Drosophila melanogaster: one gene and its partners. The protein of the gene in region 2 purifies or fractionates together with the protein of the main gene of each other region. This does not show direct contact. Each region holds a gene or a part of one and is shown on either strand. Other genes may lie near its edges.

Evidence for each region.
Region 1: the proteins of Act57B (region 2) and glob1 purify together in Drosophila melanogaster (affinity purification with western blotting; one study listed by BioGRID). This does not show direct contact.
Region 3: the proteins of Act57B (region 2) and alpha-Spec purify together in Drosophila melanogaster (affinity purification with western blotting, with the first as the bait; one study listed by BioGRID). This does not show direct contact.

The regions. Positions count from the first base shown.
Region 1 is NT_033777.3:15,899,149-15,909,920, reverse strand, and holds the start of glob1 (globin 1), read left to right. Parts: upstream 1-5,277; 5' UTR 5,278-5,419; intron 5,420-7,336; exon of another isoform or gene 7,337-7,478; intron 7,479-7,537; exon of another isoform or gene 7,538-7,719; intron 7,720-8,538; exon of another isoform or gene 8,539-8,911; intron 8,912-10,772. Other genes in the region: EndoU (endoribonuclease U-specific), read right to left, coding at 35-277, 341-573, 631-836, 983-1,142, 1,202-1,328.
Region 2 is NT_033778.4:20,939,048-20,949,984, reverse strand, and holds Act57B (actin 57B), read right to left. Parts: upstream 5,965-10,937; 5' UTR 5,869-5,964; coding exon 5,829-5,868; intron 5,142-5,828; coding exon 4,051-5,141; 3' UTR 3,554-4,050; downstream 1-3,553. UniProt on the Drosophila melanogaster protein: Actins are highly conserved proteins that are involved in various types of cell motility and are ubiquitously expressed in all eukaryotic cells.
Region 3 is NT_037436.4:1,790,212-1,801,245, reverse strand, and holds the start of alpha-Spec (alpha spectrin), read left to right. Parts: upstream 1-5,917; 5' UTR 5,918-6,047; intron 6,048-7,745; exon of another isoform or gene 7,746-7,830; coding exon of another isoform or gene 7,831-11,034. Other genes in the region: patj, read right to left, coding at 1-486, 547-2,097; CG12020 (uncharacterized protein), read right to left, coding at 2,717-2,832, 2,897-3,881; Cdc37 (cell division cycle 37), read right to left, coding at 4,072-4,344, 4,409-5,068, 5,250-5,453, 5,514-5,546; dlt (discs lost), read left to right, coding at 7,831-11,034. UniProt on the Drosophila melanogaster protein: Spectrin is the major constituent of the cytoskeletal network underlying the erythrocyte plasma membrane. It associates with band 4.1 and actin to form the cytoskeletal superstructure of the erythrocyte plasma membrane.

The DNA of each region.
Region 1 (10,772 bases), on a different chromosome or scaffold from region 2:
TGACTGAGGTTGCGAGATGGGTGGTTGGAGTGATCTAGGAGCTGTCCGGATAGACGGTTCCTATCAGGCGCATACCGTTCCATTTCCATTCGTGGGAGACAATCGTGGCGGAGGCATGACCCAACTGGATGTGGCAGGGTTCCTCCTTCGCCGTGGCCAGGAAGCAGGCGGTGTACAGGGCCATGTCCAGTTCGGGCGAGATGCCCACAAAGAAGCCGTTGACTGGCTTATTGATGTTGTGAAACGTGTAGCGAACGCTGAGAACCATTTGGTTGTGCTGAGGAAATATAGCAATCCCCTTTTGTAAGGATCATCTGTTACATTTGTCTTTAAGCCTTACCTTTCCCATTTCCTTGTGGTTCAGCCAGCCCTTGTAGTCCACATTGCCACGTTGCTCCTGATCTGCAAAGTACAGCCAGTTATGCAAGCCCAGGACCTTCTGGTCCCGAATCTCCGCCATGAAGACGTGCTCGAAACTGGAACTGCCCACAATGCCACGACCTCTGGAGTAGGGAGTGAACCACAGCTCCTGCAGCAGACGCAGCTGATCGTCATATTCTACGCTCACAATATCTAGATGGTATTGGATAGGTATACTAGTCTGATTTATTTCATTTAAAGGTTACTCACCCTTGTGTACCAAAAAACGCATGGTCAGCTTCATCACACGCGTACCCATCACGGCCCTAAGGAAATCATATTGCTCCTGGACGTGCTCCGGCGTTGGATGCTCCTGCACAGCCACGTCCAACTCGTAGTTGTCAAAGAGCCTCATTAGCAGAGCGGTGGTGGAGTTAGCATCCCTGGCCAGCAGATCCTGGTGCAATTCAAAGAGGCTGGAAGATTTCAAGAAATATGAAATAATGTTTATTAGACAGCTTTAGTATTTAATGAATTAATAATTATTTTAATTAAATTGCCTTATCATCAAATTAAATATTTTAATGATAAAATTCATTAGGCGGCGCAACTAGGTACTTACTTTCTAGGGGCGCGATCGTCATGAGCACCTGAAGTGGTCTTCCCCTGGAGATTCACCTTGTAGAGGTATGGACTGACCTCGGTCTCCTCCGCGTACAGATTCTTCGAGAGGGTCAAGACGTCATCCGGCGTTTTGGGCAGCGGCTTGCTGTGGAAGTACTCTAAGAGAAAAAACCGTTGTCCGTTCGCTTACGGAAGAGAGCTTAAAGAGACAACTCACCGTAGAAGTGCCAGCTCAAAATGCCAATGGTGATCAGCAAGCCTACGATCACAAATCTCTTTAGCTTCTGGCATTTGGCGCTGTCGATGTTGCTAGTGCTGTTTGTTTGCTGCTGCACTGCGTCCATTGTGATATAATTATCCAATTAAGATTAGTCAAACATTTGTTTTTGCGCCTCTGTTTACTTTCCCGATGCTCGCCGTTTATCTTCAGCCAAAACTCTCGCGTTGATCGAGTTTTATCTGCTCTTTCCGACCAACTACCTTTATGGCTGAAACGATACTGAGCGGGTTTGCCCCACTGCGGATCTGGCCGCTCATATGCTTGCTGAACACACAAGTAGTTCCCCCGAAAAATTGGATAACACGCTCTCCCTCTCCAATTATTTTCGTTTTCGGCGCTCTCTGGGGGATCATTGTTGTGGTTTGTTTTCACCTCGCGAGCAGCCTTTTGTTTACTCAGGAGCGGATTCGTTGGGCCCCCATGCCAAATTTCAAGTTTGAGGACATAAATGACAATGTGCAGCATATGGTATAATTTATGCGGCCAGTCAAAGTAGGAAAACAATTAGTTTCCTAAAGAAATAAAGCTAAGCCAAACGAATATAAATAAAATGTAACTGAAAAACTAATATTCTGTTTTACCTTGGATAATCATTTATATTTTAATTCATTTTATAAAAAGGTTTACAATTGAATCAGTCTTTAAACGTGCATGAATGAAACCAATTATTCTTTTCCACAATACTTCTAGTATCTATAGATATTTAAAATTCAATTCATATTTTTGTGGGAACATATGGCACGTGGCAAGCCTACTAATTTTTGGTACTTAAGGAATTTCATCCAAAGTCTCTTTTAATTACTAACATCGTGTCTTGAATCTCTCATCTGGAAGTACTAAACAAATAATTTAATCACGCACTTACTAATTTGTTTGTTTCAGCGAATATAGCGTCATTTGTATTAAAGTCTCGACTGTAATATAATTACTTCCAAATTGGGCTTAAACCATACTGTGTTTAACAAAAAAAACTTCAACAGGAAACTGTGACGTGATTTGAAAAAAAAATTGACAATAAATTGTGAACAAAATATTGTATAATTGAACACCTATAATTGCAGTGCGAAATTTTCTTAGGGCTTGATTTTTTTTTAATATCAACAAGATTTTACTCTTATATTGTCTGGACTGCAGTTCCTACAATTAGTTGAAAATAGTCTTTAAAACGTAAATACAATTAAATACATTGTCGCCAAAGATGGAATGACGAAAACCACATTAACTTTCACAATCTAATACCAAGATATCCATCATGCTATATTTAAATTAACCTTGATCAATATATCAATATATCAATATATTCAAGGCACGGGAAAACAAATAGCTCGTCACGAAAGGTGTAATTTGTTTTCAGTTTGCTTTTGGATTGGATCCACCTGGTAGAAGAATTCAGTGTACTAAAGGAGAGCTTTACAAATATTGTAATTTGATACATTATGTTTTGGATTAGCATTTGATTTATTCTTCACAGTGAAGCGAATTGTTTGCTTTGTTACAATCATCTAATATTTTCGAATACAATGTTTGCCTTTTTTAAGCTTAGGTATAGGTAAATTTGATTATCAAGGTTAGTTCTTTATACTTAAAGTAATTATGTCTTGTAGTCTAGCCGAAAACTGGATTTTGCTGCTTCTTTTAATCTCCTGACTCCTAAAACTCCGAAGCTTCAAAATTCGGAGCGCGCGTTTTATTGATTAGCTCAGTTCTAATGTTGTGACAAGCAGTCTCAGACAATATTTACCAAATCTTACGAAATGAATTCACGAAATGAATTTCAAGAAATATGAAATAATGTTTATTAGACAGCTTTAGTATTTAATGAATTAATAATTATTTTAATTAAATTGCCTTATCATCAAATTAAATATTTTAATGATAAAATTCATTAGGCGGCGCAACTAGGTACTTACTTTCTAGGGGCGCGATCGTCATGAGCACCTGAAGTGGTCTTCCCCTGGAGATTCACCTTGTAGAGGTATGGACTGACCTCGGTCTCCTCCGCGTACAGATTCTTCGAGAGGGTCAAGACGTCATCCGGCGTTTTGGGCAGCGGCTTGCTGTGGAAGTACTCTAAGAGAAAAAACCGTTGTCCGTTCGCTTACGGAAGAGAGCTTAAAGAGACAACTCACCGTAGAAGTGCCAGCTCAAAATGCCAATGGTGATCAGCAAGCCTACGATCACAAATCTCTTTAGCTTCTGGCATTTGGCGCTGTCGATGTTGCTAGTGCTGTTTGTTTGCTGCTGCACTGCGTCCATTGTGATATAATTATCCAATTAAGATTAGTCAAACATTTGTTTTTGCGCCTCTGTTTACTTTCCCGATGCTCGCCGTTTATCTTCAGCCAAAACTCTCGCGTTGATCGAGTTTTATCTGCTCTTTCCGACCAACTACCTTTATGGCTGAAACGATACTGAGCGGGTTTGCCACACTGCGGATCTGGCCGCTCATATGCTTGCTGAACACACAAGTAGTTCCCCCGAAAAATTGGATAACACGCTCTCCCTCTCCAATTATTTTCGTTTTCGGCGCTCTCTGGGGGATCATTGTTGTGGTTTGTTTTCACCTCGCGAGCAGCCTTTTGTTTACTCAGGAGCGGATTCGTTGGGCCCCCATGCCAAATTTCAAGTTTGAGGACATAAATGACAATGTGCAGCATATGGTATAATTTATGCGGCCAGTCAAAGTAGGAAAACAATTAGTTTCCTAAAGAAATAAAGCTAAGCCAAACGAATATAAATAAAATGTAACTGAAAAACTAATATTCTGTTTTACCTTGGATAATCATTTATATTTTAATTCATTTTATAAAAAGGTTTACAATTGAATCAGTCTTTAAACGTGCATGAATGAAACCAATTATTCTTTTCCACAATACTTCTAGTACCTATAGATATTTAAAATTCAATTCATATTTTTGTGGGAACATATGGCACGTGGCAAGCCTACTAATTTTTGGTACTTAAGGAATTTCATCCAAAGTCTCTTTTAATTACTAACATCGTGTCTTGAATCTCTCATCTGGAAGTACTAAACAAATAATTTAATCACGCACTTACTAATTTGTTTGTTTCAGCGAATATAGCGTCATTTGTATTAAAGTCTCGACTGTAATATAATTACTTCCAAATTGGGCTTAAACCATACTGTGTTTAACAAAAAAAACTTCAACAGGAAACTGTGACGTGATTTGAAAAAAAATTGACAATAAATTGTGAACAAAATATTGTATAATTGAACACCTATAATTGCAGTGCGAAATTTTCTTAGGGCTTGATTTTTTTTTAATATCAACAAGATTTTACTCTTATATTGTCTGGACTGCAGTTCCTACAATTAGTTGAAAATAGTCTTTAAAACGTAAATAAAATTAAATACATTGTCGCCAAAGATGGAATGACGAAAACGACATTAACTTTCACAATCTAATACCAAGATATCCATCATGCTATATTTAAATTAACCTTGATCAATAATTATTCAAGGCACGGGAAAACAAATAGCTCGTCACGAAAGGTGTTATTTGTTTGCAGTTTGCTTTTGGATTGGATCCACCTGGTAGAAGAATTTAGTGTACTAAAGGAGAGCTTTACAAATATTGTAATTTGATACATTATGTTTTGGATTAGCATTTGATTTATTCTTCACAGTGAAGCGAATTGTTTGCTTTGTTACAATCATCTAATATTTTCGAATACAATGTTTGCCTTTTTTAAGCTTAGGTATAGGTAAATTTGATTATCAAGGTTAGTTCTTTATACTTAAAGTAATTATGTCTTGTAGTCTAGCCGAAAACTGGATTTTGCTGCTTCTTTTAATCTCCTGACTCCTAAAACTCCGAAGCTTCAAAATTCGGAGCGCGCGTTTTATTGATTCGCTTCGTTCTAATGTTGTGACAAGCAGTCTCAGACAATATTTACCAAATCTTACGAAATGAAAGACCCATACGTATACTTTCACCCAAGTTGACCTCTCTGGATGATAGTGTACGAAGATTATCAGCTCGGAAACTTTTGTAGCTTCGTTTGCTGCGTTTATTTTGTGTCAGTTGTTGTTGCCGCTCGGAAGTCTTTTATAAAGGCCAGTCGGGCTAGAAATTCTATTCAGTTCAAATATTAACGGCGTCGTGTGCAGTTGCCTGGCATTTGATATAAACTGTGAGTGTGAATTGGAAAATAGTGTTCTATCCCATCCATATTTATGCAAATATTTATAGTAGAGTGATTGCATTCGTAAATCGACGTTGCTTACAATTCCCGTTCATATAGTAGCAAAATAAACAATCCGTGTGCGGTGTGATATTTGAATGCAACGCATTTTGTTGGGTATAAATTGGCAGTGCTTGTTTGTTTGTCCGCCACTTGGTTTATTGAAAATTACTGATGGAGGCTTATTAAGGTAGTGATAGTGAATAAACATTTATAAAAATAGTACAGCGCCACGATAAGGCTAAATCTTTCACTTGTGCATGTGATATATTGATAAGAACAAATAGAAGATTATTGTTGAAGTAAAGAATAAACAAATAAACAAAACAACTGAATGGAGTGTTTGAAAAGATTTGTCATATTGCGAATCTTAAACATCGAAATATTAAGAGTCGACCTAACTAGTTTTAAAAATCTTTGAATTTTTTCATTTCTAATACAAAATGTGCTTTCATTTGTTTTGCTGGATTAATTACATAATTATATTTGAAGATAGCTTAGACATCACGACAACAAATATTTGTTTATAGCTCCTAAAGCTTAGATTACATTGCGCATTTGAAGAAAGCCACTGCCCAACGGTTAAGTAAGCTTTTCCTGTTCTAAGCCCAAGCTTTTAAGAGATAGCTTTGTTTTGGGGCCAGCACTTTGACTACGCTCCTTTAAAACGTCGGAAGGTCCACAGGTGTCACTGGAAAATGTTTGATTTGGGCGTGTTGGTTCGACAGGTGTCGTCCCATTTTGAATTTGTTATGAAATGTGACAGCAAATCGGGGGAGTGTCCATAAGTGGGCTCTACGCCTGATCGGAATATCAATTGTTTTGGGCAAATGACACACCTCAAAGCCCCCGTTGAACTACGCCTCTCTCATCTGGAAGTACTAAACAAATAATTTAATCACGCACTTACTAATTTGTTTGTTTCAGCGAATATAGCGTCATTTGTATTAAAGTCTCGACTGTAATATAATTACTTCCAAATTGGGCTTAAACCATACTGTGTTTAACAAAAAAAACTTCAACAGGAAACTGTGACGTGATTTGAAAAAAAATTGACAATAAATTGTGAACAAAATATTGTATAATTGAACACCTATAATTGCAGTGCGAAATTTTCTTAGGGCTTGATTTTTTTTTAATATCAACAAGATTTTACTCTTATATTGTCTGGACTGCAGTTCCTACAATTAGTTGAAAATAGTCTTTAAAACGTAAATAAAATTAAATACATTGTCGCCAAAGATGGAATGACGAAAACGACATTAACTTTCACAATCTAATACCAAGATATCCATCATGCTATATTTAAATTAACCTTGATCAATAATTATTCAAGGCACGGGAAAACAAATAGCTCGTCACGAAAGGTGTTATTTGTTTGCAGTTTGCTTTTGGATTGGATCCACCTGGTAGAAGAATTTAGTGTACTAAAGGAGAGCTTTACAAATATTGTAATTTGATACATTATGTTTTGGATTAGCATTTGATTTATTCTTCACAGTGAAGCGAATTGTTTGCTTTGTTACAATCATCTAATATTTTCGAATACAATGTTTGCCTTTTTTAAGCTTAGGTATAGGTAAATTTGATTATCAAGGTTAGTTCTTTATACTTAAAGTAATTATGTCTTGTAGTCTAGCCGAAAACTGGATTTTGCTGCTTCTTTTAATCTCCTGACTCCTAAAACTCCGAAGCTTCAAAATTCGGAGCGCGCGTTTTATTGATTCGCTTCGTTCTAATGTTGTGACAAGCAGTCTCAGACAATATTTACCAAATCTTACGAAATGAAAGACCCATACGTATACTTTCACCCAAGTTGACCTCTCTGGATGATAGTGTACGAAGATTATCAGCTCGGAAACTTTTGTAGCTTCGTTTGCTGCGTTTATTTTGTGTCAGTTGTTGTTGCCGCTCGGAAGTCTTTTATAAAGGCCAGTCGGGCTAGAAATTCTATTCAGTTCAAATATTAACGGCGTCGTGTGCAGTTGCCTGGCATTTGATATAAACTGTGAGTGTGAATTGGAAAATAGTGTTCTATCCCATCCATATTTATGCAAATATTTATAGTAGAGTGATTGCATTCGTAAATCGACGTTGCTTACAATTCCCGTTCATATAGTAGCAAAATAAACAATCCGTGTGCGGTGTGATATTTGAATGCAACGCATTTTGTTGGGTATAAATTGGCAGTGCTTGTTTGTTTGTCCGCCACTTGGTTTATTGAAAATTACTGATGGAGGCTTATTAAGGTAGTGATAGTGAATAAACATTTATAAAAATAGTACAGCGCCACGATAAGGCTAAATCTTTCACTTGTGCATGTGATATATTGATAAGAACAAATAGAAGATTATTGTTGAAGTAAAGAATAAACAAATAAACAAAACAACTGAATGGAGTGTTTGAAAAGATTTGTCATATTGCGAATCTTAAACATCGAAATATTAAGAGTCGACCTAACTAGTTTTAAAAATCTTTGAATTTTTTCATTTCTAATACAAAATGTGCTTTCATTTGTTTTGCTGGATTAATTACATAATTATATTTGAAGATAGCTTAGACATCACGACAACAAATATTTGTTTATAGCTCCTAAAGCTTAGATTACATTGCGCATTTGAAGAAAGCCACTGCCCAACGGTTAAGTAAGCTTTTCCTGTTCTAAGCCCAAGCTTTTAAGAGATAGCTTTGTTTTGGGGCCAGCACTTTGACTACGCTCCTTTAAAACGTCGGAAGGTCCACAGGTGTCACTGGAAAATGTTTGATTTGGGCGTGTTGGTTCGACAGGTGTCGTCCCATTTTGAATTTGTTATGAAATGTGACAGCAAATCGGGGGAGTGTCCATAAGTGGGCTCTACGCCTGATCGGAATATCAATTGTTTTGGGCAAATGACACACCTCAAAGCCCCCGTTGAACTACGCCTCTGTCCAAACTCTCACTCTCCTGCATGGGCAGCTTTTGCTCCACAGCGTTTTGGTTTTGGCGGGCTCTCTCTAGCGAATCTTTGCCGGCAGAGAGTGCGAATCTGGTGAGTTCGCTCCCATAAAAGGCCCCACAATTTGCCCGCGCTCAGTTTTCAACCTGAACGCAAAGTGTGCGGTTCTTTGTAGCCCCGAAAGTTCGCACTGAACGGTCCGGTATTTGGTTTTCCACGGCACAAAAACCAATCAAGTGCGCCAATTAAAAAAGTAGTAATCAAAACTGGGAAATCCGGGAAATATATATGTGAAAATAATACGTTGGTAGGAGAAATTTATACCATAGTGAAAGCCTTGCAGAATTATGAAAGAATTCGGTGAATAAGAGCGCACGACTAACGGAACTGTAAATACGCGCTATCTTCCCCATCGACGGCGCTCAACAGGCAGGCAACCAACAGCTGATTAAACGCCCATTCTGTGTGTTTCCTACATTGGATATTTAAATCTCGGATTTTTCGGGTTCGTTGAATTCCTGCATTTCAGAGCCATAAGAAATAAAAGAGCCGCAAAGCAGCGGGCTTGGAATTTATGGATTTCTGTGGTGTCCTTGCAAAACAAGTGTCGCCTCTGGCAGAACCAGATTGTTATTGTTGTTTTTTTGTGATTACCATTTGTTGTTTCTGTTGTTGTGGCAGTCATTATCCTTAATGCCCGTGATGAGGACATGAGTGTGCATCTGTGTGTTTTAAGTGGCTGTGTGTGTTTAAGTCAGGCATTGTGGCTTTAAGAGACAATTTCAGAGGCTCAAAAGAGTTGGGAATTCATTTAATTAAATCAGCGAAAGCATCATATGTAGCAATCATCGTAATTTACATTTGTTTACCCTCTTTTTATTATCCGATTACTAAAGCTTCGTCATTGTTATCAAATACACAGTTCTTATCCATAGTACTTACCCATACATGCGTCTTTAAAATTAAAATTAAATGATTTACTTATTTATAAGACCCATAAAAAATAATTAATTTGAACACGGCTTTGGTTATTAAAACCCAGAAACATTTTATGGAGTCTGATATTTGCCAGAAACCAATTTATCCAAATATTCTTTCTTCAAGCCCCATACTTTGAAAGTCCTTTGAAATTGTTTTAAAATTGTAAAAAAAAACCAGCTCGTGTTTCGAGAGTTCACAACACTTCACATCTGGCACTTGCCAAACGACAGAATGTTGTTTTTGAGTTCTATAAAATAAATTCACATGCCGGGGAAAAAAAGAGACAGGAACAGAATTGCAACCAAATCCATAGCGACACTTGAGTGGCAGCATCACAAAACAAATATTCACGTACACTCGCACAAACACAGTCCTCCTGTAGGAGGCACTTTGCCAACACCTGACCTGCCAGCCAGCCTGCCTGCCTGCCTGCCACGCCTACCCCATCTGTTCCACCTGATCCGCCCTCCACCCACCGCCCAACGCCCCCAGGAGCTGCTGCACACGGCTGACTGTCTAGTAGCTGTCCATCAAGCTTGCCTTAATTTAATTAAGCGCTCAATGTCCTTACTGGCAACACTCTCACACTCGCACTCTCAATGGCAGATAACACAGAGAAAAATTAATTACTTAATTCGATCAAGCTAAGTGTTAAAAGAAGGGCTTAACACCAATCACCGTTAAATCACCAATCAACGTTTGAACTTCCATGAAAACGATTGAAAGAATATGTTTTTGAGAATGAAAACTAATCTTATGGAGGATAAATTTTCTCCGAGTGCTGAACCACAAGGTAACGCTTGATTTGTTGCTGCCTTTTTTCACTCTTGACTGCAGCAGACACTCACACTCACAAGCTCGCGCGACTACACACACATACACTCGCACAGCAGTGGCCAGCACTTATACACTTACAGGCACAGACTTGAACCGCAAAAGCCACAGGCCATTTTGGCATGAAGGATATTATAGAACGTACACAGACGCGCACATCCTGGCATATGTAGTGTGTTGGTGCTGGTGTTGGTGTTGGTTTGCTCCCCAAAGGGGTCTTGTAGACAAGGTTACTGAGAGATGGCAAATTTTTTATAGTGGAATCTGCACTGCCTGCGCCGCCAACCACCCACCACCCACCACCCACCTACCTCCTGCCACATCGCACCCACATTTTCCAGCAAAAAGCAACAATAACATGGCGGCCACCTGCTGCGGCTGCACTTGAGTCGATTTCCCTGTTTTATTTTCCTTTTCTCTTTCCCTTTTCCTATTTCCCCTGTTACCATGTCTATTCCGTTTGTCTGTCTGTCACTTTGTGCATTTTTAATAAAGTTTTGTATTTTGTATTTACTTTTTAGACATAACTTTCCTTTGGCTTGACTGCTGTT
Region 2 (10,937 bases):
TGATTTAATAAACTCAATTGGGCTCTTAACTGCTCTAAGTGGCTGCTAATCGTTTCGGGCAACGGGAAAAAAAGGCGAGTGGATGGCAAAATGGAAATAAAATTGTGCGACACATCAAACGGAATGGATGACAATTGGAGCTCTGGCTACAGCTCCAGCACAAGCCCACCAGTCATTCAGTCATCAGTGTATTCCATCCGGCATCTTCTGTCTCGTCTCCTGTCTGCCGAAGGAGCCTCTTTCACGCTAAATCCACCGGAAACGGAAACGCGCCGCAAATTGCAAAGTTTGAGCAGCAGCACTCGGCTCTCCTTGCGCGCTCGTGAAAATTAATTTCATCTTCGATTCTAGCATTCTGCGGCGGGAAATTGGCAGCAATTTTCTTTGCACTCTTCGCATTTCCTTGCGATTATAATAAATGCGAATTTCCTCGGCCATTTCCTCAGCATTTGGCACGAAAATAAATATATATATAAAAAAAATGAGGCGTGGCTTGGAGGCGCGTAGGTCCTTTGTTTGAATCGCCGTCCACATTCATGAACTCATATTTCGATGAGCGGAGCCATTTTTTTTTTTTCAGCTTCGTCCTGTCGAGGATTTTGGTTTTATTTTTTTGCCGCTTTCTGCATGAGCAGTTTCAAGGACATGACCGAGAATTCAAGTGCGCGGCACTTGAAATAACAGAGAAATATCTAGGAGAGAAAGGCCACGTCGAACAATAAGGCAGTGTGAAACTGTCATTTGTGCAGTGGAAAGTAGAGTTAAATCAGGCGCATAATTACCAGGACTCACGTGTGAGCATGTGTGTGCATGTGCGTGTGTGTGAGCGGGCTTAGCACATGTGAAAAGGTGAAAGGTCGAGGGGATAAGCAGCGTGAATATGTGTGTGCAATTCGAGGGGTTTTCGAATGCGGCAGCTTATTCAAATTTGCTAAATGCTCGCCTTATTTGTGCTAATTTGTGGGCAATTTTCTAATGGCTACTTTTCACACATAATACGCGCTGCGTGCTAAAGTGTTTCTTAAGCCAAAGATCTCGCTGAGCCAACGCTTCTGAAACGGGCAAAGTACTTGAGATAATACTACTTCGTTTCGTTGCCATTCATTTCGAAAAGGTAATCCTCCTGCACGCCGGTCGTATGCACTTGGGTTTTGGCGGAGGTCAGCAGGATAACCAGCATACCCCAGATGGAACCAGGTCTATTAGAGTCAATTAGCGAGCGATTATATTCACTGGCCGGTCCATCCCCCATTTTCAATCAGCCCTCCTGCATCGCTTTAAAGTCATTGAAAAATTTGCACATAAATTGCGTAAAGTGCACATTTTTTTGTTTTGCGTTTTTTGTTCTGCCCTAACACGTTTACACGGCCTCGTCGAGGTCCTGGCTTCCTCAGCCAAAGGTCCTGTTTCTGTTGCTTTTGCTCTTGCTCTTGGTGTTCCCGTGTTCCCGAGTTCCAATGGGCTGCACCCTTTTGCCTGTTCGTAAACGGCAATCACCCCCCAATAAATGTCCTTGCCCATGTGTGTGTGTGTGCGCGTGTGTGTGTGTGTGTGAATGCATCACCATCACCCCTTTGTGTCTGTGTGTGAGTGGGCTGTGAGCCGGCTTTGCTCCGCGTCTTTATCGTTTATTTTTATTTGGTCAGCAAAAGCGAACATTGTCAGCCCAATTTCACACAAAAAATGCAATCAAATGTGACGCTTTTCATTATCCTCGCGATTTATATATTTTTTCAGTCAGTCAAGCGGGCGAAAAGGGGTTTTGCAAATGGCAGAGGGATTGGCCAAAATTTAAATCAATCAAATGAAATTGACTTGCTTGATTTTAAATCATTTCCGTTGGCCTTTGAGGGCTAAATTAATTGGAATAAAACTAAGAGTTGTGTTCATATTTCTATATTTCTTGGAGAAAGTCTCTCAAATAACTGTTGCATACTTTTAGGTAAGCAGAATACCATATAAATTGTTTAAAAAATGTTTAAATCCAATTGTTTTGCATTTATTTTAAGTACAATTACAAAGTTGTAAATAATATACATTATTGTTGTAACCAAATATTTTTCCATATTTTAATATTTATTTTCTTTCCGTGCACATAGCGAATCGGGATCAGGACTCGCTTTTCAAGAAACGCTTTTCGAGTCTCAGAGCTTCCAACACTTTCCGCTTCGCTGAGCACAAGTTTTGATTGCATTATACGAGTATATGGATTTTTGGTCGCTTTGCAGCTTCATCGATAGTAATTGAAGTGAAAACAATGTGTGTGCTCTGGGGTGTGTGCGATGTCTCCATATATGGTACTCTTAGTATGGATAAGGATTCGAGTGCGATTCCGAATCGGGGGAAATGGAAGCGCCTTGAAGAACTGGATGCCCTCATTGTTGTTGGTTGGCAATCGGAGCAGCTATATATAATTGACCATATGGGTCGTTTTGTGCGGCATACTTCAAGTCGCAATCGTAAATGGGCGTGGAGGTACTTACTTATGTATGTGCCTTACTCGATTCGAAATATTTGCGCTCTTTATTATGAATTTTAAATCGAATTTGTATGGAAATTAAGAACTGAATATTGCATTATGACGACGACGTCGACGATATTGTGTACGTGTTTATTTTTGTTTTTGTGCAAATTGATTAGTGGGTTAAGCCCGTTTAAGTCGAGGGTTGGTAACTTCTCATTCCGGCATTTGTTTCCTGATTTCGGATTTGGGATTTCTGTTTCCCGATTTCTGATTCCCAATCCTGTTTGTTGTTGTGCAGCGCGGCGTAAAGTGATTCGCTTGAGAAAGTGAATTCCGAACGGGCAAGTTGCGCCCATTTTTGCCCATCTCGTCGTGCAACTCATTAGCGGCATCTGTCGCCCCTTTTTGGCCAAGTGCCAGCGATTTGGGCCCATTAATTACCCATTTGTATGTGGCTGCAACTGAAATTGCAACAGGCGACACGACCGCGAATACAAATTTCATTCATAATGCACATCGAGTTCTAATTAAACGGCCCAACGCCATTTTGACTAATTGTCTTGGCAATCTCGGCGAGAACATTTGTCTCTGGCATTGCCACCATACACTATATATGTATATATTCCATCCATTATTCCTCAAAGTGAAATGCATTTCTGGTAATCAGTTTGCCGAGAGCGGCAACAAATTGACATTGGCAATTTGTTTTGGCCGCCGCCTTTGATCATCCATCCGACTTGCGTCATCTCCGATCGTATTTCCTCATGGCATAAACAAACAAAAAATCGCTCGCCTGTCCGCCGCCTCACCCATTTTGGAATGCGTCTAAAAATATTCGAAAATCGTTTCGAAACCAGAAATATTTTGGGAATAGAAAGCTTTACGGTATGGTATTCGGGAAATTTGAAACGCACCGTCGCGTCTGGAGGTGAAAAAAGCTCACACATCACACATAGATCCATAAATGTACATATATATTGTATGTATCTTGAACTACTGATCGATGGAAAGCTTCGGCTAGGATTTGCTTTCCCGGCTAGATGCCCCCCCCCAATTTTTTCCAAAATCTCTATGTTTTTAGAAAAAATTAAATCTAAAAAATCGTTTTTATTTATAAATAATTATAAATTGTTTTAATTAATATTACAATCATGAGATTATTTTACATTTCGTAGTCAATAGACCCCATCCGCTCTATCGGGGAAGTTGTTAGGTTCTGTACAAAATACATGAGGGTGTCGGTTCATTCGTAAAACAATCAAATGGCGATCAACATTTAAGGAAACCGCGAGCGATTAACAAGTGGATGGGGATCGCGGTCCGTGGCATTAGATTGACAATTCATTTTGATTGATGGTGTTGTGTTCAGTCAGTACAAAAGAGTATTCTCGAACCAAGGATGACACGTTGGTAAATAATGACATTCAAAAACAAATGGTTGGATGGTGGTGGTGTTTGTTGTTTTTGCCGGTGGAGCACCAGCCGCCCACACACCCAGAACCACCACAAATAGCAGGACCAGATGAGCAGGAGACAGGTGAGTAGACCGGGTGGTGCTAGTGTTGGTGCTAGGCAACTGCAACTGCTTAGAAGCACTTGCGGTGGACGATGCCAGGGCCGGACTCGTCGTACTCCTCCTTGGAGATCCACATCTGCTGGAAGGTGGACAGAGAGGCCAGGATGGAGCCACCGATCCAGACGGAGTATTTGCGCTCTGGGGGAGCAATGATCTTGATCTTGATGGTGGATGGGGCCAGGGAGGTGATCTCCTTCTGCATACGATCGGCAATACCGGGGTACATGGTGGTGCCACCGGACATGACGATGTTGGCGTACAGGTCCTTACGGATATCCACATCGCACTTCATGATGGAGTTGTAGACGGTCTCGTGGATGCCGCAGGATTCCATTCCCAGGAAGGAAGGCTGGAACAGGGACTCGGGGCAACGGAAACGCTCGTTGCCGATGGTGATCACCTGTCCGTCGGGAAGCTCGTACGACTTCTCCAGGGAGGTGGAGGCGGCGGCGGTGGCCATCTCCTGCTCGAAGTCCAGGGCAACATAGCACAACTTCTCCTTGATGTCACGGACAATTTCACGCTCAGCGGTGGTGGTGAAAGAGTAGCCGCGCTCGGTCAGGATCTTCATCAGGTAGTCGGTCAAATCGCGACCAGCCAGATCCAGACGGAGGATGGCATGGGGCAGAGCATAACCCTCATAGATGGGGACGGTGTGGGAGACACCATCACCGGAGTCCAGAACGATACCGGTGGTACGACCGGAGGCGTACAGGGAGAGCACGGCCTGGATGGCGACGTACATGGCGGGCGAGTTGAAGGTCTCAAACATGATCTGGGTCATCTTCTCGCGGTTAGCCTTGGGGTTCAGGGGGGCCTCAGTCAGCAGGACGGGGTGCTCCTCGGGGGCAACACGCAGCTCGTTGTAGAAGGTGTGGTGCCAGATCTTCTCCATATCATCCCAGTTGGTGATGATACCGTGCTCGATGGGGTATTTCAGGGTGAGGATACCACGCTTGGACTGGGCCTCATCACCGACGTACGAGTCCTTCTGGCCCATACCGACCATCACACCCTGGTGGCGTGGACGACCGACGATGGAGGGGAAGACGGCACGGGGAGCGTCATCACCGGCGAAACCGGCCTTGCACATGCCGGAGCCTGCAGGATAACACAATCGAACAGGGGTCCATTAGTGGGCGCTCGAGTGCTTCATGTGGGGTTTCCCACACTGGGAGTCTAACATTTGCTCTAACGGACAGCGTGAAAAAGTCTGGCGACTAAGTCGAAAAAACTGGAAAAGTTTGGGGCGGAGAGAAAAATTCTCTCATGAAAATATGTGATCTGTCTTCTTCTCTCGTATAGAGAAATATCTGAAGATATATGATTTCTGAAATATTCCTCTTCTCTAATATCATGATCTCTTGAAAAGCTTTCAAGCATCAAAACTTATGAAAGTGATTCGGGCACAAAAAATCTTTATAAAACTTATGCAAATCGGTTTTGATTCTGTGCAAAATATAATATTTTAGCTTTTCTTTATCTGAATATTTATGATTCTTTGACTTGAATTGAAAATATTGCTCAATAACTAATATTTAAAATATATATTTCTCGAAATCATCCAAGGCATTGGAATATTTTTTTTGTTATATTCAAATTTCTAATTGCTTGTGTCCCGAAGGATGCGTGAGTTAATCACAACTCGAAAATCGTTCACTTTGCGATCACTTTAGCACTAGATGCGGGAATATCCTTTCGCTGTTGGGTCCTTTGTCTATTTCTCTTTCTTTTTTTTCTCTTTTAGCAAAAGCCAAGACGATAATCCGTTCGATGGGGAATACGCACCATTGTCAACGACCAGAGCAGCAACTTCATCGTCACACATTTTGTTTTAGTTTTGTTTTTTTTACGGCACCACGGGTGAATTAAATCAAGAGTTACGGTGTGTACGGCTTGGAACACAACTGACTGACTAAAGTATCGCCGCGTTGGTACTCGGATTTTATACCGCCGCCGAAATGCCATCTCGTCCAAGAAGCGCCGTCGCCATGCCCCCCGCCGCCACCGCCCCCGCCACGCCCCCATACCAATGGCAAAAGAAATACTCAAACGAATACACACAGCGAGGAAATATGCTCATGGATGCGATAATGCTGCCCACCGGCCGATCCGCCTAAAAATAGATCCTTCAGCATAGGGGGCTCTTTGGAAAACATAAGGCGAACGAGCGAGAGGCACAATATGGTATGGCATGCTATACGTATAGGAATACCATATAGCATATAGCGCAGTATAGTTCGGCGTGATCGAGCGTGGAGATCGTATCGGTTGGGATCGGGCACGATCGGCTGCCTGCTCACGATCGTTTGCAGTCTCAAAAAGTGCCGTATAAGGCAAGGAGGCGCCTCCAGCACACTCACACTCGTTTGCTCATTCTCAGCGAGTCGCTCTCTCTCTCTCTCCTGTTCTCCCACTATATCGGCCATATCGGCTATATCTGCTATATCTGCTATATTTGCTATATGTTTCGGTTCGGTTTGGATACTTTTTGGGTCGGTTCGTTACGGTGGGGGATTGGGTGGGTGGATATATTCGCTTTGTTGCTGGCTTCTATTTTCTCGTACGGCTCGTTGTTTTCATAACTTTCGTGTTTTTCTCATGTCGTAATAAATTCATTTTCTATTTTCGATATGTACACACACACAAACGCACAGCCTTAGTCAAATCGCATCTCTATCATTTCCCAGCCTTTGCACCTTCATGCCTTTCGTTTCTAATTTTGGTCATATTTCTCATTGCGCTCTCGCCCAAGATCCACGCCCACGCCCATGTCTACGCCCCTCGTGCAATGAGCATTATATTCAACTAATTGTTTATTTACAAATCGGGCTGTAAGATGTTAGTAAGGGGGATGGGAGGGGGGAGCTTAACCGTTACATGCCGGCTTTGCAGGGTACCCATTTAAATTGGGTTCGGTGCAATCTATTTTTGGGCTGCAACTAAGTGGGGCATGTTTACGTTTTATGGCACAATCCGGTGAGGCCAATCGTTGCTGTGGATCCTCCACACTCTCCTCCTCCACACATTTTACCCAATTCTCGCTGTATTCAAATACTTGGATACAGATGTATGTATTTGTGGCGCGGTTCGGTTGCTATACTACATGGAAAAACAAATGGATGTCGCTAAATTAGATTTGGGGCCCCATGCATATTCATTCTATAAAACGTGTATTTTCGCACGTACATATATGTATCTTTGGATACATAACACCAATAAGGTTGAGTTCCAGCTTCCCGAGGAAGAATGACTAATCCCTTAACCTAAATTGCAAAAATTAATCTATCAAAAGAATCGGTCTAGTTCGAATAGGATTATTTTCGAACTAATTTTAGACGGTTCTAAATATAGATCAAATGACAACAAGCAAGGTATTCCTCCAGAGTTGCCAGAGAGACAAGTAGGGCATATTTTTATTTTATGATTGTCGCCTTACTGATTACTATAATACTTATTGCAAATTTATAATAATTGCTTTTTAATAGGTATAATAATAATAATAATAATATAATATAATAACTTTAATAATAAGTATAAAAATAATAGTTTTTAGTGATATGCCTACAACAATTGTATATTTTCTATATTTTTCAATAATATTTTTTTTCTAATTTTCTAATTATTTTTTATTCCGGAAAATACATTTAAGTATTAAATATTTATTAGGTTTAAATAAGATGAGCATAAATTATTTAAGGTATGATTCTACTTAACAGCATGTTTTCATTTTGAATCTTCAAAATGTTTAAAATCCCACGTTTTTTCAAAAAACTTCTTTAATTAAAATCTAAAGGACACGAGTGAGCTTATCATTTAAAATGTTTTTTTTTTTAATAAAAATTAGCAATCGGCATAATTTATTTCTTTTATACCTTCACATTATCCTCAGCGGCTGTGAAATAATTCCCTGTTTGTTTTTTGGACTGCCTTAAAAAATGAGGGTAAGCACGAAAAGTTTCTCATCAAAAGAGACTCGTATCAGAGGTAAAATAACCAGGGCCTTTTTTTATTTTAATCGCGTGAAACAGCTCGACTGTTAATGCAGAGTTAATTAAAAGTATGTGAAAAGTAAATCACTATGTGGCAATTTAACCCAGCAACCACCGCACCAACCCACCGAAGGACCCTCAAGGCATCGGCAGTCAAATGGCAAAGCCAAAGTTGGTCGTTGGCCGTTGGAGTAACGAAAATAAAGCCAATTGCAAATAGATTATATAAATGGCTAAATCAAAATTTAATAAAGCCAAGCGAGATGTGCAGTCGCTGGAGCGTTGGATAAATAGGAGGGCCGGATGTCACCAGTAGTGGCTGGTCCAAGGAATTTTAATAATGATCACGTATCCTGGCAGCGATTTCACCTTGTTGTTTTAGCACACGTGCGCCAATTGCCGACACTAAAGGGATTCATTTGTGAATTATCCAATGCCGAAAATGTAGCACCCACACCAGGACATCCACAAACCCCACACCCATCCTAAACAAACAGCGGGCTGAGGTCGAAGGCTGGGAATCAACGAAAACAAATTGCAATTGAGCCGGCAAAGGATGGGTGACAAAAAGTGGCCACCACGACGCAGAATGAGGATTGGGAACTCGGCTTGGGACTGGGACTGGGATTGGGATTCCGATTCGGATTCGGGAGGGATACAGTCGCGATGCGCATTTGACAGCTCAAGCGGAATGCACACAGACGATGACGACGAGGATGAAAGGGGGTTTCGCCCAAAGCCAAGGTAACAAGGGGCCACATGGCTGCGGAGCTACGAAGGATAAAGGATATACTGCTGGTTGACTGTGCGGCTGGGAAAAGTCGCCCGAGGACCAGGGACCACCCTCATTTTGGCTGGCTGACTAAAAATGCTTGGGATTCTCATGAATTTCGATGGAATTTTTATTAAGTTGCCAATTTGGCAATTGACAGAGTTGATCAAAGTGGCTGGGCAATTGCGGGAGTGGCTGAATATATCCCTTGATTTCTGTGTGAATTAATTTCAAATTAGTTTGCCACATGCATTTCGGCATTTATTGGATTTTCGCAGGGGCACACAAACACACACAGAGAGAGGGGTTCGGATCGTGAATGGGAAAGGGTTAGCCACAATCCCTTAATAGGCCTAATCAACACAATCGATGATGGCCGGTGATTTGTTAAGCGCATTAGCAGCTCCAGTATTGACCACTGTCCAGCTGCCGCAAACTCATCTGCCACTTGGCTGTTCCTCCAACCCAACTCCAATTCATTTCAATGGTTTGAAATCGGGTCAGGCGAACGCATATAAACACACCATTTCGATTTAGATTGTGATTTCTGGAATGCATTAATTTGTGTTAATGGGGAAAAGCAAAGATTTCCCATTTGTTAGGGTTCGGAGTGCAGGCGAGGTTTATTTTTAGGTGCCCACAATGGATACACACACACACATGGGGAGCTGGAGATTGCCTGGAGATGGAATTTTCCATGGGCAACATATCGGGCAAATCCTATCGTATTTCAGCGCAAACATTTTCACCATACCAACCCAGCCCCATAAACTTAAAATTTAGTCATTCACGTGCTGCCTGCTGCAATCATCATCGGCGGTCAGACAAGTGGCAATTCGTATATGGCAGACCCAAATATTCTGTGCGAAATCCGCATATATCTCTGTCCACTGGCCAGACCGAAATACTTTCGGATATGCGCTCCATCGAGTATTGTTTCTCGATTCTATAGGTCGGTTGTTATATATCTGCCTAGTCTCTGTCTGCCGCACTGTACGCCTCCAGGGCGAACAGAAATATTCAAGAACGGAGCGCGGTGGCCAAGATAAGGCGGATTCGACGGCAATCCGCATATATGTTCGCAGTTTCGAAAGTCTAAAGTAGATTGGGGTGGACCAAAACAAGCTGTATACCAAAAGTTTTGATAATGAGACGATTATCAATGGAAGATATCATGGTACAAATGTCGGTCTATAAAGCGTATTATGATATTAAATTATAAGTAATGTACTTATGAAACTGAAGTATGGAACTTAATTATAAGGATTGCTTAAGGATATTTGCCAGTTGACTTTGTTGTTTCTGTTGCCTTGGGTTCACCCATATAGACTGGCTATGTGAGCAAGGAGAGCAACAACAACCAAAAGTGACGCGGACATTTATGGTGTGCTCTAGAAGTGAGAAACTGATTTCTGTTCGGTTTGCAGCACACCAACACAGGGAAATCGGCACACCCGCACACACACTGGCACACACTTCGTGCAACAACAACAATCATAATCGGGAGAAAATGTTGTTCAATAATTTCGGTTCTGGCCACTGGTTTCATTTCGTTTGGACGGACTTATTTTTAACGTTGTTATTTTATATATACACGAAATAGAAGCAGCAAACGCATAGGAAAAACAAAAATATTCCTATATATTGAACAAAAAAAAAAAAAAATGTAGAAAACTAGAGGATGGAAAAGAGGAACAAGCAAAATAGCACCAACGCTTTCATCATCGACCAAACGGGCGCGATCAGCTGTATGTCGTCAATATGCGATATATCTCAAGGCGGATCGAACATACATATGTATGTATTTTTGTGTGAGATGTCTTCTTTTAATTAAAGTACAATAGATATACAGAGAAATTGGAAGATGGATCTATGTGCTGCCCCATGGTCATTCAGCTTCCGCTCGGACCACTCATGGCCATGGGGAAAGCATCTTCATTAGCAGCCCCACCATCATGATGATCTAGCTAGCTATGTATATGTATGTGGTATCCACTCGGACTTGGACTCGGTGGTTTTTGACAAATCCTATTTATAGAGCTGCCCCCTACGTTTTCGACTGCCGTGGAACACTTGTCGCTGGTCTGCTCCAAAAACAGCAGCGAACCCTCGGAAATCATGTAGGAATTTTAA
Region 3 (11,034 bases), on a different chromosome or scaffold from region 2:
CTTCACCAGACGATCGGTAGCAGGCAGCAGGTTCTCAAAGTTGTTGCTTAGCTTTTTCAGGGTGTCATCAGAGAATGGGAGAAGCGAGCTGTTCCTGTTGCGACCGCAAACCATGCGCACATCCAACGGCAGTTCCTTAAGTATAGCCACCACCTCCAGGTGGTTCATACCCAGCAACCGCTCGCCGTTTACCTCCAGCAATTCATCGCCAGAGCGGAGTACTCCATTCACGCCAACGGGTCCATCAGGTAAGATTGAACGAATATAGTGATGGGGTCGTACCTCGCGCCCTCCTTCTACGTCCACGGTTCCCTCCAAGGAAATCCCCAAGCCTCCGACCGCGAACTTCTTGATCTGGGCCACAATCACCTCCACATCGGAGCCCACAATCTTCTGCCATTTGCGAATAATTTCGGTTTCGGCGTCGTCGGACAGTTCCGGATCGGTGTAGTACTTGTGACGGGTGATCACCCCGCTGTTCTTGGCCTAAAACATGTTAATGCGCTATACGTTTTGCTGCTGTGTTACCCGTTAGCTAATACTCACCTCCGTTTTATCCGCCAAGGGTACAACTTCCGTGGGTATGATCTTCGTGGAGCCGTCTAGGGAGTCCCTTACTGCTACTAGTTGCTTACCCGCTCCAAAGGAGCTTAATGTGGTGGTGGTCATTGTGGTGACCGACGGCGGAGTGGTCATGAATGCTTCTGGCGCTGGTAAGGCTTCCTCTTCCAACTCGCGAGTGATGCTGCGTGATGGTGTAGTTGTGGCGGAGGACGTTGTGGCCACGGGCGTGGGCATGGGAGCCCTTGAAGGCGTTCCAGGTGCACTGGATGGAAGCTTGTCATTCGCAGCGATAGCCTGCTGCAGCTGCTCGAATTTGGGGCCCCTCAGGTAGCGTTCCAAGCGCAGGTTCACCACCTGACCAGACTTCTTAAGCAGCTCTACGGCCTGGTGGTTGGAGTAGCCTTGTAGCGACTGGCCGTCAACTTCAATGATGCGATCGTTGACCCGGATGCGACCACTCAGGTCCGCTGCTGAACCGGGCGACACGCTCTTTACGAAAATGCCAGACAGCTCTTCTTTCTCACACACATAGCCGGCAATTGTGATGCCCAGGCCGTTGGCATCCTTCTTCAGCTCCACCTGAAGCTTCTCCGTTTCAGGAAGGGCAAGCAATTCCTCTAGGTCGATGTTTGGATCAATAAGCATTGATGTCTCGCCGCGATAAACGAAACGATCGTCTTCCGTGGTGGTCTGCGGAGTGGAGGCCGTGGAGCTCTCGCCAAAGATTTCCGGATAGCCGGTAGATATGAGGTACCGCTCCAGCTCGGCAGGATCGACGAGGACGCGCGTGGGCACCACAGCAGTGCCCGGTTCCAGGGCGTACTGGGGCGTAGGCACGCTCTGCTCAACGGGACGGGCAACCACTAGGCGGACGTGGGTTCCAGACTGTCTCAGCACGGCAGCCACCTGTTCGGATACCATTTCGTGCAGGTTGACGTCTCCAATCTGGAGGATGTGGTCGCCCGAGCGCAAGCGTCCGTCCTTATCGGCCACGCCACCCGGCAGGATGGTTTTTACAATCACTCCCGAGTTGCGAGCTCCAATAATACCGAATCCGAGACCCGTGCCGTCGTTGACCAGCTCTATGGCCTGGATCTGAGCGTAGTCCGTGGCGTAGAGATCCGCCACTCCGGCTCCTTTGGAGTTCTGGCTCTGCGGGCGCGGCTCCTCGCCGACGCCTCCGGACTTATCTGGACTGCCCGGAGCCGAATGGGAGTGCGAGGAAGAGCGCTGTTCGTCAAAGTCGTACATCACCTCGCCACCATTCAGACTGAGTACAAGGTTGCCGGCCACATCGATGTCGAAGTCGTTGGGCAACATGGACGGATGCTGAGCCAGCTGGGCGTTCAGCTCGGACAACGAGTCCTGCACGTGGACGATGGTGCGGAAAACGGGATCCTGCAGAATGCCCAGAATGGTGCTAAGGCTCTCGGCCGTCTGCATTTGCAGCTTGGGGTCGTCGGACTCATCGATGCCCTTCTTCACTGCCTCGATCTGCTGAAGGGCGCTGGAAATATCCGCGCTGAGGTGCATCTTGCGTCAGTGGGCGTGGTCAGCGAGCGGTGCGCGGTGCGGTCAGTGGAGCGTGGTCCCCGTCTCTATCCCACTTCCGCTGGCGTTTCTATGGACTTCTGGGTGGGGGCGTTGTGGCGTTGGCACACTTTGTCCTAAACTGCAAAACGGGTAATTCGATTTGGGCTCTAAGTGGGACAGCTTCGGATCAGTTACTGTGCCGTTTGGATGCAGCGAGTTGTTTACCCTCTCCTATGCACTCTTTTCGGTGGCCACTTGCTCTGCTGCTGCTGCTGTAATTGATTTTTAATTATCTCTGAAATGGAATGCCAAATGCATTTTCTTTTCACAAACAGCTGATGGACAGGGTTGCCGAGCGGCTGCGTTGTGCATCGATAAGCAATCGACATAATCGGAACAGTTGCCACCTTTTCAAAATCAATTCAAATTCGACCGTTACATCTGCTAATTTAATTAAATCTAAGATTTTTGAATATAGTCTGCATGTGCTCGTATGTAATATGGCTATACGAAATAACCCAACAACATCTATCCTTTTAAACGCAAATTTTGAATTTAATTTCTCTGTACGCACAAATATCTGTGTTCCAAATACGGAAAAACAATAAGGTGTCTGCCATCAAACCATGTTACGTTCCTCCTCCTCCTCCAATTCTATTTCGAGCTTGCGGAATTCGCGGAAGAATTCGCGAGTGATATGCTTCATATGTGGAGTCAAGTACTTGGGAAAGATATCTGCAGAAGAAACAGAGAAACTATCAGAAACTATTGAAACCTCCAACAGAAAAGGAAAACCCACAATCAAATTCTATAATGAGATCCCCGAACTGCTCCACCTTCTTGTTGGCCTCCTTGATGGCCGTAACTGCATCCAAATTGCGGCACTTGGGGAGTCCCTCGAGGGGAACCACTTTGGTGTATCCCGGCTGCACTACGTCCGTAATGACCACCTTCAACTGGCGCCGGTCCAGCGTGCAAATGAAGAACGTGAAGCCGGTGAAGGCCTGGCACAGGCCAATAGACTGCCTGTAGACCAGGTCGTGTTGGTTTCTCCTCTCAAAGTCCGGATGCGGCTTGTCGGCGGCAATGAAAATAATATCACCCGGAATGGTGGCCGGATAGCGATCGCCCTCCTCCTTGAAGCAGAAGCGAGTTCCGGCCGTAGTTCCCGGGGCAATGTTCAGCTTTAAGGTGTGCTTGCGCTTCTCCAGCCGCGACTCCTTGGCGTCCACGATCTCCTGGCGCCACACGTTCATCAGCTTGACGCAGCCAGTGCGTACTTCCTCCAGCGACAGCTCGATGATCCTCTCCGTACTGGCGTCCTTGGAACGCACGCCAATGCCATGCTGGCGCGTAGCGTACAAGCTCGGTGGATTGGAGATCGCATCGATCACGTTGGCATACGGCGAGTAGCTACCGAAGACCCGCTCGTAGACCTTCATGTGGTCGCCGTCGTACTGATAGGGCGGAAAGTATCCGTTCGGCAGCATGACGCCCTCGAACAAACCCGCCTCGCCAAAGCGATCGTATATGGCCCGGTACAGATCGTTGCCCAGCACATCGAAGGCCATGTTGACGTAGGCCCACTGCCTGGGCTCGCCCATGGGTGAGAGGTGCGTGAGACGACCCTCCTGGGCCAGCGGCACAAAGTCCTGCTCGTCCTTCTTGTCGCGATGTGGGCAAAGCCGAATGGCCAGGCGGCGGTAGGCCAGAGTAATCTGCTCCTTGGTGGCGCCTCTGGGCTGATCCAGCACCGCGTAGTAGTCCAGCTCCGGCCGGTTCATTGTTTCTATTCGGAGTCGAAGCGTATAACAACTGGCAGAAGTGTTCACAGAATGTTTGACGTGTGACTGAGAATTTATTCAAATTATATACAATAACTCAACTGACGCAGGATCTGGCTATGGATGAAATATGCTTGTGGACAAATACATTAAGATTAGAGCTATGGTGTAGATGGAAACGTGGCGGCGATCAGTCAACGTCCTCGGTGCTGACGCCAGTGTAGATGGGCTCCTCCTTGGCTGCACTCTCTGATTTGGCATCGTCGGTCTTCTCCTCGCCACCGGCGACGTCATCCGAGTCATCTTCCTCCTTCTTGTCACCCTCCAAGTCAGCGGCATTGGGCACCCAGAGACCAGAGTCCACACAACGCTTCATGTGCAGCTTGGCGACGTCCACGGGCATGGCCGCAATGGTCTTCTGCAGCAGCTCTACGTCGCGGGACTCGAAACAGGCCTTTAGTTCCTGCGGAGCAAATACATGAAAAGTTAGTCAAGTAATTCCCATACAGTGAATCACTAGAACGTACATCGGGCAGGGATTCAAAGACATCGGCTGGGTCCAGACCACCAGGTCCGAGGCGCTCCTTGCGCTCCTCCTCTTCGGCCTGGGCTATCGCCTCCTGGATCTTCTCCTGCGCACGCTTCTGGATACGTCCTTTGAAACCTTCGATCTCGCTGTCGAACTGCGCGCGGTACTCGGGATGACAGTGCTGGATCTTTGAGAAGAAGGAGCTGACACAGGCGCGAGGATCCACGTCCAGCTGTTTGGCCAACTCTAGAATGTACTGCATGCAAATGCACTGATGCGCCACGTGGGCCATCAGCTCGTGCTTCTCCTCCATTTCCAGGTTGATGGACCAAATGACTAGGTAGTTGGCCGTCTCCTCGCCCACCAAGTGAAGATGCTCCTGCAGAAACCGCTTCGAATCGTCGTACTTGCGCAGCATGCCATACTGCTGGCAGAGCTTCTCGTTCTCCTTGACGAATTGCTTCATGCGCTGCTCTCGCTCTTCCTCGGACAGATTCTCATCCGGCTTGCGGCCGGCCTTCTTGTTGATTACGGTCTTCTCAAAGCCGGGCTTGCTGATGGTGTCCACGTTCCAGGGTGTTTTCTTTTCCTTCTTAATCATCTCGCTCTCGATGCGGTCCAGCTCTTTGCCCTCGGCCTCGATCTTTTCGAGCTCTTTCTGTAGGCGATACAAATTAGGGATTAAGCATTGCGATGAAAGATGGATGGCCACTTAGGATGATAGTCAATCATAAGCTTGACAATAAGAATAAATTAGATGGATTGAGAACATAGGGAACTCCCAGACCAGGCATTAGCCTAAGCAACAAGTGCGCAGTGCATTCGGTGCAATGACCCACCTTCAGGGCCTCCTCGTCGCCATCCTTCTTTGAGATCCGCTCCTTGACGTCCATGAGGCGCGCCTGGTAGCTCTGGCGCTTTTTCTTAAGCTCGTCCTTCTCGTGGTCCATCTCCGCCATGCGCTCCACGCGCGCCTGGTGCCGCCAGCGGAACAGAGAAGGCGTGTCTATGTTTGGGTGAGTGTCGTCCTCATCATCCGAAATCTAAAAGGTAGTGTGCCGATTAGGAGGACTTTTTGGGTTGGCACCCAGCAGTGGGCTCACCTCGATGTTCTTCCACTTGCTGTAGTCCACCATTTTGCTGTTTCTTTGCTTCGGATTTATATTTGAATGTAAATGCTGCAGGTTTTTGTTCTTTTTCGGCTGCTTCCTTTTTTTGGATTGCTCTGGAAATTAGTGTGACCGCAGGGCTATTGCGGAATAATACCATAATAAGCCCCGCTTACTCTGGGGCCGCGCTAGGAAATAGTAGTCATGCATGAGTGCACCAGATTGAATTGAAATACCCTGTCGTTTTTAATTTATTTACATCATCTACTACTACTCATCTACATCTACTAGAAAAATAATGAGATGACTAAGGCGCCAAAGCGACCAGAAAGAGAACTATGTTTATAATCGATTGACATCGATAGAAATCGCGATATTGATGTCAATGTTCTGCGCCAATCGGCCGACATATTGAAAAAAACTGCGGTCCCGTGAAATAGAGGCGCTCCGTGAAAATTACGAATAACTACTGCAAATCAATAGTTAAATTAACAAAGTAACTGTGAACAAATAGATTGCCATCAAAGTGTAAGTTTCTACATAGTTTTCGTCCGTAGCTCACTGTTAGTTGGGTTCAAAATGCAATTGAAATTCGGTGTGCGTGCAAAGTGAAAATTTTTCGGGTCAACGCCACACCCTCGAAGGCAACACAAAAATCCAATTAACGGGGCTAAAGTGAGAGAAAAGTCTTGGCCATAACTGAAAAGCTATGCTGTGCAATGTCACTGCTTGATTAGTAATAGAAATTTTGAATTTCTTTCAAAATTCTTGACTCCAATTGCAACTTAAGAAAAAGTATCTGGTGCTCCTGTTGTGCATGTGTGTGTGCGGTTACGCAGGAGTAGAGAACGCTGTGTGTGTGTACGTCATCGGGTGGTGGTGGTGGTGCGGCAACTTCAGATGAGAGAAAGCGGGAGAGCACACTCTCCCTCTCTTTGCTTGTTTGTGTTTCCAAGATATTTAAGTACGAATAAAAAAAAAGCAAAGTGCTTGCCTTACATATGCCAAAGTTTTGGGTGGGCAAGTGTCCTTGACTTTCTTGAAGGCCTGTGTTTGCATAGGATATTTTTGTTTGCTTGCCAGGCGATTCCGTGTTCGTAGTAGTCTTGCGTACCAGTTGATTTTTTGTGCCTCTTCATTGATTGCTCATAATTCCAAAGCGTACGCATTACGTCATCCTCTGCTATTTTCTGATAGACACTTCAATTAATGTTTCGCTCTCTCCGTCTCTTTCTATTCGCTCTCTTTTTGAGGTGCGATCTCTCGCAATTGCCGTTTCTGATGTTGTTTTTGTTTGCCACCGCGATAAACAGTTAAATTGGCCTGCCTGTGTGTTTGTATGTGAGCTCCAACATTGTATGGCTGCCAAGCCCTGGGCTGTTGCCATCTCCCTCTGATTTATTTCAATTTCCTGTGGCAAAGAGTGTTGTTTGTTTGTTTCTCTGCATGCTGACCCACCCTCTCCCCTAAATGATGTCATTGCTTGCTCTGCTGACCCCTTCTAAAGGGGCGATTTTGAAGTATTAAGTATTAAAATCCGGACATTCCACGGATTTCCTTATCGTTAGTGCTAATTGTATTTCATGTTACTCTATTGACAAAAATTCACTCCTTGGCTTTTCTCTATTAATCATTCTTGGCCAATCTTAACTATTTTACCTTCTGTGTAGTGTAGCTGAGAATTTCAGATATTTCTCTGCTTTTCTTATCTGAGTTGTTTTTTTTTTTTTTTTAGCACTAAAAATTGGAAACTATTAGAAATGTGATTTTATGGGCTATCAACTAAGTTTGGAAATTAAAATAAATGATATCTTATAAGAATTCATAGAAAATATTTATACTTTAACAACAAAAAATTGTTGATGCAATATTTAGATACTTTTAGAAACCTACTATTCTTTTATTGTTAAGGTTAATACCTTTACAAATTTGTTTAGCATACATGTGCGTTTTTCCAAACCTGACCTACAAATATATTCCTCATAATTTCCCGCCTAACTATAACCTTATTACAACTTTTAGTACAGGTGATGAAGTCATCACAACTCGTAGCATTTTACGTGTCGTTTACGTTGATTTAGTTTATTGTGTGAAAACATATTGTTTATACAGAAAAAAAAGAAAATCCTGCAACTTCAACCCATCCAAACAACTCTAAAAATAACTTAGAAAACGAAACCCACAAAAGCCGAGCCAACATTTCCCTTCTCTCCTCTTCCGTTGCAGGGAAACAAAAGGGAGAGAGGGATTGGAGGAGGGCCAAAGGTTGAAAATAGCTCGAGCTAAGGCACAGAAAATAGATCACCGGAACATGACTGCAGAGCTCAAAGCGTCAGATACAGAAATGACGAAGCCGGAAGAGAGGCATCTGCTGCAGCTGCTTGCGCAACTGGAGAAGGTGCCGCACCACCAGCTGGAGCAAAAGTTCGTCGCCTATTTTAAAAAGGTTGGCAAGGGTGATAACCAGAGTAACTGCACACTAGAGGACTTCGCCACCTACTTTTTAGGTGCACTGCGTCAAAGCACAAAGAGGTACTACTATTCGCAAAACTCGGAGACACCCGTGTTTCCCTTGACCCCCATCCATCAGCTCAAGCCGCCGGTCGCCGATGTGGTCAAGGAGGAGGAACAGCAGCAGCTCAATGAGTCCTCGATCCTTAGCCGGAGCAGCTGCAGTATGTCCTCCACTTCGAATACTACTCCGGCTCCCCAGCAGCCGCAGGGCAGAAGATCAACGCCAGGAAGTGGCGCCCAGTTTTGCAGCACGCCTAACAGAAGCGGCGGTGGGGGAGCAGGAGGAGGGCACAGCATCTGCTTGGGCAACTTTCTGGTCAATACACCTATCCAGAGCCATCAGCGATCTAAGAAGAAGATCACGCCCCAAAAACAGCAGCAAAATCAACATGCATCATTGGGTTCAGGAACTGGAGCTGGAGCCACGCCACAATCCAAGCCGCGGCGACGTGTCTTACCCATGACCATTAGCAAGAATGTTTCGGCCAGCTCCTCTTTCGGAGACACCAGTTCCTTTAGCAATGAAAATAACTTTTGGCGAATCTCGCAGAGCAGCGAAATCTTCGATAGAAGCCAAGAAGCAGCCCTGGAAATGGAGGCCCGCAAGTTCCTGTTGCTCAAAAAGCAGGAAATCAAAAGCGAAGCGCCTGTGAATGTTAGTCAACAGGAGAGGACACCCGAAGATGAGGTTTTCCCTGAGGAAGCCATTAGCTTGGAGGGTGTGGCTAATGCCAATCACTTGCAGCTCCTATCAACCATTTACAGCCTGTTAATGGACCTCAATTTGGTGCCCAACGTACTACGTGAACTTAGTTTTGTGGTCCATCTGCTAAATGTGCGAGATTTTGGCCAATCACCCGTCAAATCGTATGTACCCAGTGCTTTGGAGGGACTCACCCAGCACAAAAGTTGTGTATACTTTGCCGCAAAACTGCTGGAGAATCAGAAAAAGTTACTTCTGCAGCTTGACAAACGGACTTTGAGTGTCTTGCTACAAAACGAGAGATTGAGCCTGCTGCCGCAAGGAGTTGTCCAAGAATTGGAAACTCACTGTCAGCGGAGGCAGGATTCGACCACACCCTTCGCTATGGACACCTCTTCGTCCTCCCAGCAGAATGTATACTATCACGTGGAGAACGACTCGCGGGATAACTTTCCTTCGCAGAATGAGTTCGGGGCCTTCAAGTCCCAAAGGGACCTCTTTTACAAAGCCCTTAAGCGTTGGGAGGTGAGCCATCTGAATCGGGGTTTCAACTTTCCCAGCGAACTGGGGCCGCGTATTATGGATATCTATAAGAAATCGGAGCACCCAGTTAACATGACGCACCTGGCAAAATTATTTGTCAACCAATTATTGATCTCCGCTACCGAGACCACCGAATCTCCCGAAGAACTGGGCTTAAAGCTGGATCCCCTCAGGCACAATAAGCTGGCACAGCGCTTGGTGACATCCAGTTCCAGTGTGGAAGGTCAGTTTCCTCGCTCTCAGGCCTTCTTCCGCGACTTTATCGCCGTATGCTCATCGGTAGCATTTCTGGTGCACCTGAAGCTGGAGCTCTTTGTGCAACTAATGCGTAACAACGACTCCACCTTTGATCTGCTCCAGCTAACTGACGATGTGGCTGTCGAGGAGCAGTCCGCTCAGCAGGGACCATACATTGTTCGCGTCCAGACCATGGCTAACATGCTTATCCTGGCCAAGTTCTTGGGCTACGTAACTGTGATGCCCTTTAGCGGCACCACGCAACATGGAAACCCAACGCCGCCATATCTTTGTCCACAGCAGTTGCAGCTTCGTAACCATTTTCGTCCGGACTTCAATCTCCGCGAGATACTCGAACGTTCCATGCGCCAGGGCAAGCTGCTGATTACGCTTCCGTGGTTAGTTCAATACCTGGCGATGCTCGACTTGGTCAGCCTGCACCTTCCGGACGCAGTGGCCACTTTGGAGCTGCTGTACGGATTGTATGCCGACATACGTATGGCAAAATTGCAACCAGCAGCTGTGTTCATAGCCAGGAGCTGCATTGGATGGCTTTTGGATGCACAGCCGCAGTTGGTTAATGGCTACTACAATTACAGGGCACAGGAAGCCGGAGTCGGAAGCATTTCGGCAATTGTGGATATCTGCCTAAAGGACCTCTCGTGTCACGATAAATCGCACGCCCCCTTGTTGGACGAACTTCTGCCCGTGGCTTGCCCTTTCCTGCAGGAATTCCGGGTGAGCATCACGCCCTCTAGGCAAGCGAAAAGTGGGCGGTTCCGGTACATAACCACTCGGTTGGAGCAGTTGCAGCAGAACAGCAGTTCCATTTCCAAGGACGCGATAGTGGCAAGCGAACTGAGTCCCGCGGAGCAGCAGCAGCGCAAATTGGTCGATGCCTATCTCCAATCCCAAAACGCGTCCACCAGGAGGTTGATCGAGTTCGTCACGGAGCGCACTTTTAAGTGTGTCGTTAAGGACGCCCAGCAGGAGATTCTGCTCCCGTCGAAGGCCTCCGCGGATGCCAAAGTCAACGAAATTAAATCCACGATGCTCGAGGAGGTGTTTCAGGAGCTGCATGAGATCTTTCAAGATGCCAGGGAGAATGCGTGTCAGCGTTGGAAGGAGCATGTGCACCAAATGCTGGACAGGCGCATAGAGCACTCCTTGGATGGCCTTCTGCCCTCCAGCACCAATGCGGTATTGCGGTCTACATATGCTCATTTAATCCGGGTGCAAGCCCAGACTCAGCTGCAACAGTGGCTCCAGTCGAGCGTGCTTCAGTCCACATTTTATCATGGCGACCTTCAGGAGTTAGCCACCAAAGTGTGCAACTGCAATAGGAACAAGGCAGATGCAGCAGCTGCAGGTGGCGGCGGCTCCAGTGAGCTCCAGCTCAGTCCGGATATTGGATTCAGCCTGTCGGAGTTTCTCTATCAGCTCCAGCAGTGGTTGCACTGCCTCAGCTTGCGGCCAGAATATGTGGGCAGTCAAGAAGATCTGGCCGAGCTGCTTCGA